3 linked regions of the Sus scrofa genome follow. The protein of the gene in region 1 interacts with the protein of each later gene in a pairwise test. Links are inferred from orthologs where the notes say so. Each region holds a gene or a part of one and is shown on either strand. Other genes may lie near its edges.

What was found. The genes of interacting proteins can lie anywhere in the genome.
Region 2: the proteins of DNAJA3 (region 1) and FAM214B interact in binary tests that used the Homo sapiens proteins (3 or more experiments, as listed by UniProt). The link is inferred for Sus scrofa from reciprocal best matches to the Homo sapiens genes DNAJA3 and ATOSB.
Region 3: the proteins of DNAJA3 (region 1) and TCF19 interact in a two-hybrid assay, tested with the Homo sapiens proteins (2 studies listed by BioGRID and IntAct). The two-hybrid records come from large-scale screens. The link is inferred for Sus scrofa from reciprocal best matches to the Homo sapiens genes DNAJA3 and TCF19.

Annotation. Positions count from the first base shown.
Region 1 is NC_010445.4:37,912,599-37,916,109, forward strand, and holds part of DNAJA3 (dnaJ homolog subfamily A member 3, mitochondrial), read right to left. Parts: intron 1,593-3,511; coding exon 1,459-1,592; intron 1-1,458. UniProt on the Homo sapiens protein: Modulates apoptotic signal transduction or effector structures within the mitochondrial matrix. Affect cytochrome C release from the mitochondria and caspase 3 activation, but not caspase 8 activation.
Region 2 is NC_010443.5:235,904,334-235,908,280, forward strand, and holds the start of FAM214B (protein FAM214B), read right to left. Parts: upstream 2,810-3,947; 5' UTR 2,722-2,809; exon of another isoform or gene 2,696-2,721; intron 196-2,695; exon of another isoform or gene 1-195. UniProt on the Homo sapiens protein: Transcription regulator that may syncronize transcriptional and translational programs.
Region 3 is NC_010449.5:23,557,980-23,562,085, reverse strand, and holds TCF19 (transcription factor 19), read right to left. Parts: upstream 2,810-4,106; coding exon 2,572-2,809; intron 1,624-2,571; coding exon of another isoform or gene 1,543-1,623; coding exon 981-1,542; intron 737-980; coding exon 496-736; 3' UTR 12-495; downstream 1-11. UniProt on the Homo sapiens protein: Potential transcription factor that may play a role in the regulation of genes involved in cell cycle G1/S transition. May bind to regulatory elements of genes, including the promoter of the transcription factor FOXO1.

The DNA.
Region 1 (3,511 bases):
ATACAACCCTGCTGATGTAGTAAAACCCAGTGAATTCCAGGTTTAAAAGAAAAACTAAGAAGAGGGAATAGCTATCCAAACTTTAAGCTGTTGTTAGGTCTGGTCATGATCAGTATTTGATTCACTAATATTAGGCTTAGACAAAGTTTTTCCTTGTCCACAAAAACTTTTTTAAAAAAGGAAAAAAAGGATGTTCCAGTGTGGCACAGCAGGTTAAGGATCTGGCATCGCAGCTGTGGCGCAGGTCACCACTGTGGCAGGGGTTCAATCCCTGCCTGGCCCAAGAACTTCCACGTGCCTGAGGTGTGGCCAAAAAAAGGGGGGAAAAAATCAGGATTCTTAGAGCAAATTTTCCATAAACATAATTTTTAAATTCAAATTTTATTAATTTTTATTAAATTTTAATCATCTTTATTCTATTATAGCTTCCCCTTTTGGGGGGAGCAGGGGCGCATCTGTCGCATGCCCAAATTCTGGGGCCAGAGACAGAACCTGTGCCACAGCAGCAACTGCAAGCCAATGAAGTGATGATGCCAGATCCCTAATCCACTGAGTCAGAGAAGAACACATCTTTCCTCTTTCTATAGTGTTAAGGTGCTCTTTCTTTCATCACATGACATTAACAGATTAAATGTGATCATTTTTAACATCCACAGTAGGCAAAATACGAAAGCTAGCATTCCTACGTCAGAGCTCACAGTCTTTAACTTTTACTTTATTGATCAGAGCAAAAGTCTGGAACCCACAGATCTAGATAAGTCACATGCCACTGTACCAATCAGCCCAATACATTCTGGGATATGACGATGGGAATTTCACATTTTCTAGGTTAAGAAAAAATTCTAAATCCATGAACTTTTATCTGAATGCAAAGAATGACTACCCAAAATAAGACTTGGACCACCACACCACAGTTTCAGAAGATGCAGAATAAATTTAAGTACAAAAGCAGCCCTGGGAGTTCCCGTCGTGGCACAGTGGTTAACGAATCTGACTAGGAACCATGAGGTTGCAAGTTCGATCCCTGGCCTTGCTCAGTGGGTTAAGGATCCGGTGTTGCTGTGAGCTGTGGTGTAGCTTGCAGACATGGCTCAGATCCCGAGTTGCTGTGACTCTGGTGCAGGCCAGCAGCTATAGCTCTGATTAGACCCCTAGCCTGGGAACCTCCATATGCCTCGGAAGTGACCCTAGAAAAGGCAAAAAGACAACAAAACAAAACAAAAACAGCAGCCCTGGAAAAAGATTTTTTAAACTCTCTGGTTCTGAAGCATTAACCAGCATGGCTTCCCGCGCTCGAGGAACACAGCCCAGCAAAGCCCATTTTTATCATCTGCTTCCACACTGTCAGCTGCACGCAACCTACATTTACGGGCATACGCCTTGCACTGCTCAGGATCGGACTAGACTGAAAGTGTACCTTCTGAAATCTTGCCTCTAAAATCTGGCTTCCATACAGACCTGGTAATAGGCCTTCTTGATCTCCTTCTGGCTGGCACTTCGGGGTACTCCTAATATCTGGTAATAATCCTCTTTGGACAAAGTGGCGCTCGTGTGAAAGAAGGCAGTACAAACAGAAGGGGAACTTTTTACTCCTAAAAAAGAAAAAAAGAAAAAAAAAAATCACGCTGGGAGTGACTCAATGAAAGGAAATTATGGGCAAACAACCAGCCAGGCTATACCCGTAAAGGTCACAGCTTTAGGGCTTGTTCTCCCCCAGGCCCACTGGACACCAAACTCACTGCACTCCCACCACAGCTAAGGCCGCTGCATAGGGAGAGCACAGAAAGCGCCGTCAGAGCGCCGGGCGGCCGATTCCGTAGGATCACACTAGGGCCGGAGCCTCGCGGTGCCTCAGGAGGAACCGCACCCAGAAGGGCTGCACCTGGGCATGACCCAAGGGATCCTGTTTCCCTGCCCACCCAGCACGCCTCGTGCTGCACCTCGATGCCTCACAACTCATAGGTCCTCCCTCCACCGGGCACCACTGGATGCCTGCTTCCGGGGTGGTTCAGAGTGTAGTGCCTGAACCAGCAGCAGCATTAGCTTGTTGGAAATGTTATCCTCAGACCCCATCCAAACCTGAATTGGAACCTCTGAGGGGTGGGGCCCAGCAGGCTGTGCCTCGAGCCCTCCAGGTGGCAGTTCCACCACACAGAGAACCACCACGCTAGAGAAACCGCTGGTCGTCAAAGTCACATCTCTCTGAGGATCCGACAAAAAACAACGCGCACATATAGAGAGAGACACAAAAAATTAAACGGCTCTGTTCCAGAACCTGCTCACCCCAGGGTAACCCCCAAAGAGATCAAAGCACGTGGCAGCCCCCGCCCCAAAACCCTGCCCTCCCTTCAAACCTCTTGCACCAGCAGCTCGGAGGAAAGGCTGACAGACCCTGCACGGAGCAGACAGCTAGCTGGACGGGCCTGGCACCACAGGAAGGGGGGCAGCTGCTCGACAACCTGCACCTTGCGACAAGTGAAGATGGGGAGGGCAGGGCAGGGGCTGAAGGAGCCCAGTGAGGGCAGAAGGGAGAGCAGGGCCAAGGGGGAGAATGAGGGTCATGAGGCAGCTCCAGGTTTTTAAGTGGACGGTTCACCGGCCAAGGAGGAGCTTCTGGATTCACCCCTTTCATCCAGCAAACACCCACTTCAGCGCTACGCCTGCCAGACACTGGACTTCTCACCAGGGACACAGCAGCAAACCACTCAAAGGAACCGCCCCCTGGGAGCCCACATTTGTTCCAGATCTTAACACTGTTCTAGGCACTGAGGATTCTAGACGAAGCATCCAAGCCTGGGCCCTCAGGGAGCTTAGAGCTCAGCAGGGGAGTGTGGGAGACAGGGTCACGCAAAGTGAGAACACACAAGAGGGTCACCGAACCAGGTCTCTCAAGCCATTGCGTGAAGTTCTCATCACTCTTCATGCTGGGACTCGGCTCCTCTCGAGAGGGGCAGGTGTGGGGTGGGCTGTTATGGGCTGGACTGTGTCCCCCCTCGCAAACTCAGATGCTGAAGCCCTACCCTCCCCTGGCCCTGCACCTTAGAATATGACTGTACGTGGAGATGGGGGCCTTTACAGACAACCCTGCCAAAAACATTGATCTTAGACTTTTATAGCCTCCAGAACTGCGAAAAAAATAATTTTCTATTTTTTAAGCCACTTAAACTGTGGCACTCTGCTATGGCAGCCCTATGTATTTATTTATATTCTAATATATCTGTGTACTTACTGTAGGATGTTTTAGCAGCATTCTTGGCCAACGAGCTACCAATAGCAGCCCCAACCCCAAACTGGCCACTAAAAACATCAGACGCTGGCAGACATCCCTGAAGGATAAAATCACCCCCAGCAGAGAACGAGTAAACCTACTCTCAGATGTTCGGGCACATCTTCTCAGGCACCTGCTCTTAAGCTGGAGAAATCAGCGAGGCTAAGGAGGGCTTGAATCCGCACAGATTTCATCTTACGGTCCCCTCTTCTGCTTTCACAAGCACCCGGTTTGGTCGCTACA
Region 2 (3,947 bases), on another chromosome or scaffold:
AGGCCTAGGACTTAATTATTTGCAAAGACCATGGGGCAGCAGTTTAGGGGGAAGGATCATAGATGTTCTAGGTCTCAGTGTGCTCTGGGAAAGCAAGCAGCATGGTACAATCAAGAGGCTTTAAGTAGCTGCTCTAAATTCTCCTGCTTTATTTTTTTTTTTTTAATTTTTATTTATTTATTTTTTTTGTCTTTCTTGCCATTTATTGGGCCGCTCTCGTGGCATATGGAGGTTCCCAGGCTAGGGGTCTAATTGGAGCTGTAGCCACTGGCCTACACCAGAGCCACAGCAACATGGGATCCGAGCTGCGTCTGCAACCTACACCACAGCTCACGGCAACGCCGGATCGTTAACCCACTGAGCAAGGCCAGGGATCGAACCCGCAACCTCATGGTTCCTAATCAGATTCATTAACCACTGTGCCATGACGGGAACTCCTATTTTTTTTTTTTCATAGCAGTTATCACCAGACATCATTTCTCTCTTTCCTCTTCTCTCCCTCTCCTGCTTGCCCCCCTACACACACACACACACACACACACTTCTTTCTTTCCCTATTAAAATGGAAGCTCCATGAGAGCAGCAACTTTGTCTGTTTTATTCGTGCTGGTACTCTCAGAATCAGCATCGGTGTTTGGCACAAAATAGGTGCTCAGTAAACTCTAGTTGAAAGAAACAATGAGCCCTGAGCTGAGTGAACAGCAATCAGGAGACCTGGGTTCTAACACCTGTTCATTCACTATGAGATCTGGAGAAAATCTCAGTCTCTGTTCATTTCCAAATCTGTAAAATGAGTTTGTATAAATGATGACCATTGAGAGCCTCTACAGCTCTGACCTTATATTGCTATGATTCTAATGGCTATTGTTCACTCAAATCCATTTCCAGAGGATGAGTCCAAGCATCTGAAAGCTCCGCTGATCGTTCTGAAGCAGAAAGGCCATATACTCCAGCCTCTGCACAGCAAACTGATGCTCTTTCTCTTCATGCCCCACCCACTCACACGAATGCCTTAGTCCAGAGGAAGCTGGAGTGAGTCTGCCCTAGGCCCGCCTCTCTGAGAGACAGACTGGGAAGCTGTGTTGCCATAGCAATCAGCTCCTCCTCAAAAGGCTTCAGCCTGCCCTCCTTTACCCCACCCTACCCCAAGGCTTTGTCTGGCCTCAGCACCCCCTCCTCCCCACCAACCCGTCTCTCAGCCAGAGGAGGCTGGCTTGGGGCCCCTTTCAGCAACACTGTCACACTCATTCAGCCACTGTGTGGAAAACAGGGCTTTCCCACCCTGTCCCAGCCAGCCCAGGGGCAAAATGAACTCTGGCCCTACACCAGGTCCCCTCAGGGAACCAGAGGAGCCCCCAAGTGGACTAGGCCCTAGTCTCAGTTTTGACAGTCAGCTTCCAGGTCAGGAGTATGGGGAGCCATTCCTTCTTCCTCCCCCAGCAGAGGCTGCAACCTCACATCCCTTCTCAAGTTCAAATGACAATAGTGACCCACCTCTCCAAACATGCATCAAAGACCCTTAGTACTTATTATTTTCCCCTCCTACAGACACCCAGAATTTTTGACGGTCGCAATGTTACCTACCCAGGAGAAGGAAAAGTGTGGGGAAATTTCATTTGTGGCAAGTGGTAAAAATGTGTCTACCATTCACTTGGGGGCCTGCTGGGAAAGACCTTGGTAGTAGTGAGGGTGGGGTCTGGGCCTTGCTGCTAATTATTAGGTCTCTGGCCACTGAGTACAAAGTCTGGGGCAGGCACAGCTCCTAGACATGCAAGGACCGGGCCAGGCCCCAGGGCGAGGAAGGAAGTGGGAAATGAGCACACCCAGAACATAAGGGCAGAGCAAAGTGGGGGAGGTGGGGGAAGACAGGGACCAAGGCAAGCTTCTAGAAGGAACAGGAACTAGAGTGGGGGGTTAACAGGAACAGAATGGGGGAAGGGTCCCCAGAGACACCAACGAAGGGGGAAAAAAAGAAACCAAAAAACCCAGACTCAGCCAGACAGATCCAGAGCTGCCTGAGAAGGTCGCACAAGCCCTAGTGGCAAGTGGGGCCTAGATCCTCTCTAAGAGTGCTCAGGCCTGAAGGTGGAGTTAGGAGTTGAGGAGCCAGGAGCACTGCAGACGGGCTTCTTCACCCCAGCAATTTCATCACCCTCATTCCTAAAACACAGGACACAAACATCTTCCTGGAATCTCTATAATGCCCCCACACTTTCTCAAAGCACTAGGGGTTCTTCCCTCCCCAGCTGGGGCCTGCAACCCCTTCCCTTCGCAGAGTGCCCACAGCCCCATCCCTTCTTCCTCCACACAGGCCATCTGTCCCTCCCACACTCTGGACCACCAGCCCTTCTCCATCACACAACACCCCCTCTTCCCTTTCCCCCTAAGCTCCTTCAGAGTCCCTCCTCCTCAAGTATCTTCTCCAACCCTCCACTTCAAGATAAAGACTTCACCCCCTACCTAGTACTTCCCACCCTCACAAAGCACTCCCGCCCCTCCCCCACAAGGGCTACCGGAGAATGCACCTCCTAGCCCACACAGTGAGCCCCAGCTCCTCCCCTAACTCTGCTTTACTCCACCCTACCCCAGCATTTCTCCCAATTCTCTCCTTCCCTAAAGCGATCCCCACCTCCTCATGTCTGCCCAAGCGCACCCCGGTCCTTGTCCCTTCTTCCACACGCACCCCACCCCACACCTGCAGTTCCGTGAGTCCCGCTGCACCTGGGGAGGTAGTGGATTGGGGCAGTTACACAGCTGCCCCAGCTGCAGCCTCCTCCGGCAAACCTCGCCCCTTTGGTGCGAGCCCCGCCCCCGCAACGACAAGACCCACCCTCCCCCTGTCCCACCTCCCACCTTCCCCCCCCACCCCGCTTGTCCTTTTTCCTAGTTTCTGTAATTCCTGGGGCTCCTCCCCTGTAATACAGGTCCCGCCCCCTCTAAGGCCCCGCCCCTTCTCGTCTTCTCGGCGTCTCCCCATTGAACACTGCTTGCCCGTCGTCCCCTCCAATCCCCGCCCCTTTTTGGTCTCCTTGCTTGTCACTAGGACCCGCCCACTCGGATTCCAGCCTGGCAGAACCGGTGCCAAGCTCCTTTCCAACGCTAGCCCCCTCAGATCTCTGAGCCTCTTCTCCCCCCGCCCCTTCTCCCACTAGCCTCACCCCGGCGCCCGCTCTCCAGCCGGGAACCGCTGGCTCTGATTGGTGGTGGTGGTCCCAATGGATGGTGGAGGAGACAAAGTGATGGCTGCAGGTCGCCTGAGGTCCCACCCCGGCCACGTGCGGCTTCTGTGATGACAGGTTTAGATGGGCGGGGCATGTGCCCTCTGTGTGAGGCCTAGGCTGACCGGATTAGGCTGGAGGTGGGGAGCCAGAGCCAGGGTCAAAGCGTTAGCCTGAAGGCGCCGAGCCTGAATGAGGCCCTCTCAAGCTTTTGCGCTGGTGTGAGCAGCCTGCGGAACTTGAGCCTCTTAGTGAAGCCGTCTGCGTTAGCGCGTGTATTTGCCTTAATGGGGGAGGTCTGTGGGACTTGCAAAGTAGCACAAGGGGTCTCAGGGTTCTGTAAAAATGCGCAAATCTGGTTGACGGGGTCTCAACTCTGTGAGGATGAATAATTTCTGCAGCCTACTCTGTTCAAGAGAGTCTGAATTCTGGGAGACAAGAAGTAAGAGTCAGATGTGTACCTGTAGAGATAGGTCAGAGAGTCGTCTGTGAAATTCATGAGCCTAAGTGTTACTACAGAGTAAGGGGAGCCTGCAATCACTGAAGAAAAGTAGAGCCTTTGCTTTGCACGTGTCAAATCAACTATGTGACAGGAGTTCTGTTGTGGCTCAGCGGTAACTAACCCGACTAGTATCCATGAGGATGCAGGTTCAGTCCCTGGCTTTGTTCAATCCTATGGGTTAAGGATCTGGTGTTGCTGTGGGCTGTGGTGTAGGCTGGCAGCTGCGG
Region 3 (4,106 bases), on another chromosome or scaffold:
GAGCAAGCACCTTGGAGTGTATGAAGCTGCTCATTCTTTATTCGGAAATGGAAGCAAAGCTCTGAAAAGTCAGGTCACAGTCATGGTCAGTGGCAGGACTATCCACAAGGTAAGGAAGGCTAGGTGCTGCCATTAAGATCTTGCTTGCTCAAGTCTGGGGCTGCCACCCTCCCAGGCAGGCCCTCTGCAGTCGAATGCTCCTGACCACACATTCTAGTGTCCATGACAAGGACCCACAACAGCTTATAACAGTGGGGATTTCCAGCTCACTGGCAACTTCCTGGAGGCAGCAGTATCTTTGGCAGGAAACCATCTCTTCTGTCACCTTGGCTACAAGGGCCTTGAATTGATAATCCATAGCAATGGACCCTTCCTCTGTACTCATCCCCCCACCACCCCAGGGGAAGGCAAGGGAAGAAGAAGGCATCTCTTAGGACTCCCTGTCCCCCCATGGCCTGGAGGTGCCGGCTCTGTCCTCTGGTGTTGGTGGCCGCCCTAGCTCTGGATGCCTACACGGCAGCCTGGGCACCGGAAGTCAGCTTCCTTGGCAGCCTGGATGCTGCAGCCAACACAGGCCACATGGAACCAGGTGTCACAACCATCACACTGAACCCAAGCTACTGTCTCTTCTTGGGGTAGGCAGCAACAGGGGGCTGCACAGGGCTCCCCGCCCCCAGCTGCTGGGGGAGCCCTGGGGATGCTCACTGGGTGCTTCCGAGGACGCCCACGACGATTTCTGAAGAAAGTGACACAAAAACTAGGGTCACTGGAAACCTGCAGAAACTTAGAACTTTCCCCTGGGTAATCAAAGTGAACCTATATGGATTCACTAGAATCTGCCGAGCAGAACCAACCCAGGTCTTGCGATCCCAAGGTCCACCTCTGGTCTCTATCCCCCGGGCAGAGCCGCCTCCCAGTCTAGGGCTCTAAAAAGGAGTTAAAAGGCAGTGAAATGATGAGATGGAGTTCTCTCCACTTACCCACTGGGTGTCGGTGGGGTTTTCTCTACACGGAGCAGTTTCTTCCTGGGCTCTATAAGCACGGGTGGGAGGCTCTCGGGAGCCTCTCTCTCATCGTCCAGTTCTGCCAACACGCGGTGAGCGGATTTCCTCCGGTTTCTTGGGGGTGGGGCCGAAGGGGTGGTCCTCACTTCCCCAGGAGTCGTGGAAACGGGTGGATTCTGCGGCCCACTCCCACTCCGAGAGAATGTGAGCGGCTGCAAGTGGAGCTTGCTGAGGCTGCCGATGGAGTTGAGGATCAGGGTGGCTTTGGGGGTGGGGGAGAGGGTGCTGAGGGGGCGCTGGGGGGCCCCTTGGGAGGGCAGCATAGGCCGGAAACCAGCTCTGGTTTCTCCCTCTTCTCCCCTGGACCGTGGGATGGTGATGGCAGCAAAATCTTGAGGTTTGACTCGGACTTGCTGAAACATGTAGAACTCTGAGGGGCTGGTTCCTGGGGGCCCTTCAGGGCCAAAGGTCAGAAGGTCACCATCACTCAACTCCAGCCTGTGACCCCTTGGGAGTCGGACATTATTGACCAAAGTCCCTGTTGGTGGTGGGACACCAGACAGAACGACAGAAACAAATGGTGGGTCAGAAGTGGAGAGATCTGGTCCTGTTTGATTTTCTGGGGAACACGAGGAAGAACATTGCATCTGTTATCCAGTTCTCATGTTCTAAGTCCCTTCGCAGGTAACACCAGATAGCAAGCTCTTTGTGAACTGGGAACAAATTTTTGTTTCTTATGCCCTCCCACTGGAGGCATGGAGGGAAAAAGCTCCTTCCCTCAATCTACTGAGGTCTGATTCTCAGAGATGCTCACTCACCCAGCTCCGCCTCAACACCTATCCGCATAGTTCAGATTGTCTAGGTTCAAATCCAAGCTCCACTACTTAACCAGCCATGTGGCCCTGGACAACTTTTGTGCCTCATTTTCCTTGTCTGGAAAGTGGGGATATTTGTGCTCACCTACATTTAGTGCATTTAGGACAGTTCTGGCTTGTAACAGTAAGCACTAGGTGCATCTTGGCCACTAGTTATCCAATCCTCACAACATTCCCAACCAAAACAGACCTAAGAAAGGCTTATAGTTTACCTAGGAGGAAACTAATACCTAGAAAGGTGAAGTGACAGGCCTGAGGGACGCTGCCGGGGGTCAGTGGCACCACTCAGATGTGAACCCAGGCCTTCTGAGACTGTAATTGCCTCCGAGTCAAAGGAGTAAGACATAGGTTCAGATCATTAAAACAATTCAACATGTAACTGCCCTAAGCCAAGAACAAGGTGCCAACTTGGGAACAAGTCTGGAAACTTGGTCAAGTCTGAGCTTGGCCCCAGGACAACCCACTGCGATACTTCTCTGATGATGCTCCCGCCCCTGAATGAGCTAAACAAGGTCAGCTCCACAAAGAGCTTCTGACACTGCACATTTCTGGTGGGAGGACAGGTCTGGGTGATAACCATCCAGCCAGCCCAAAGGGGAGATTGGGTGGAAGGCAGGCAATGGTCCCTGTGGAGACTTTGCAGCCCAGAACTGCCATTGCCCAGGCATAAGGCTGCTCTGCTCACTCCTCACCTTGGCTGCTATGGTCCTCCAGGCTGACCCTCCAGTCATCACCCCGGCGCTCAGCGTGCAGCTCCGCGTGGACTTCCGAGATGAAGCCGGGCTCCTGCTGGGGCCGCAGGGCCACATCACACAGGTCGGCCCTGCAGCCCAAGCGGTAGGTGCAGCCAGCCCCACTTGGGGGGTGGAAGGTGTAAAGGTCGACACCCCTGCCGCCCCCTATGCGCAGCAGCTGGAAGCAGGGCAGCATGGGCGGTGCCCCCTCTGCACCACCTCTTCCACTTCAGGAATCCATCACTTCCCAATCCTGGGCCATGCACAGCTGGCCTAAGTTCTCTTTCCCTCTGATGCAGAGTTGAACTGTGCTTTGTGCAATCTCAACCTTGGGCACGCTCCCCGAATAGTGTAAATTCAGAGTGCAAGGGCCTAGGATTCGATGCAAGATTGGCTGTCAACAGTTTTCCAACTGAAAAATTTCGTGAGGGTCCCAGTATAGTGCAAAGACGAAGATGTCCTATGGCACGAAGTTGAATCAGATCCTCAGGCTGCAGAATATTCCGGGAGCCTTCAAGTCTGTGCCAGGCAACAATACGTTAGGCAGCTTCTGGGGAATATGCGAATTGCAAGGGGGGAGGACTGGGGTCCTGCTTCTGTGTGATACTAACTTGTCACCTCAGTGTAATTTGGAGAAGTTTCCTGTCAATTCTGCTAATCCAAACAGAGTAACCCACCTGCTAGCCTGCGCCTCGCTCTTCTGGCCAACCCCTCACTCATAACTAGATAGCTTAAACCCCCGTGGGAAGTCTATCCACTGTCATCCCTCCAAAGGCAGTGCAAATGGGTCTCTATGTTCTCTAACAAAGCGGATCTAAACCCCTGCTTCCCGACTTCTCCAGGTGGGATTAAAGACAGGATAGGGCTTCCCGGGATCATGCGAGGGAAACCCAGCCTTTTCCCTCCCCGCCGCAATCCAGATTCTTATCTACCGCGAGGTGCAGTCTCGAAGCGGTCCCCTCTCCGGGCAGTGCCAGCCTGTGCGGCAGCTCAGGATCTCTCAGGCTCCGGCCAGGGCTGGTGCTCCAGCGGCTGTTTGACAGCGAGGAAGCCGGGGCCAGGAGGGGCGCCGTCTCCGCGCGCGGGCAGTACCGACCCCGCCTTCGGAATTCCCGGGTCTGAACTTCGCGCCGAGAGAGCCCGCCCCCCGTGCCGTTTCTGATTGGCCATCTCTTTTGCCCTCCTTCTCTCCATTGGGCGACGCGCTGGGAGGGTCTCCGATCTCCCGCCTTCCGCTTTTTCTGATTAGTTCACAAGTTTTCCCGGGTTCCCGGAGTTGGGAGGAGCCGCCAGGGCGCGGAGATGCCCTCAGTGCCATAATTGGGCCGGGCTTTAGACTACCGCGCCTGCGTACACCTCTTCCCCTCCTCCTCCCGGAAGGGTGAAGGGCTTTAGAGCGTCCCGCCAACCTGCCCGCTTTGCGCAGGCGCGGTCAGGGGCTGAGGCCGCGCTTCTGAGCTAGGGGTAGGGGGTGTGGTCAAAGGGCAGAGGGG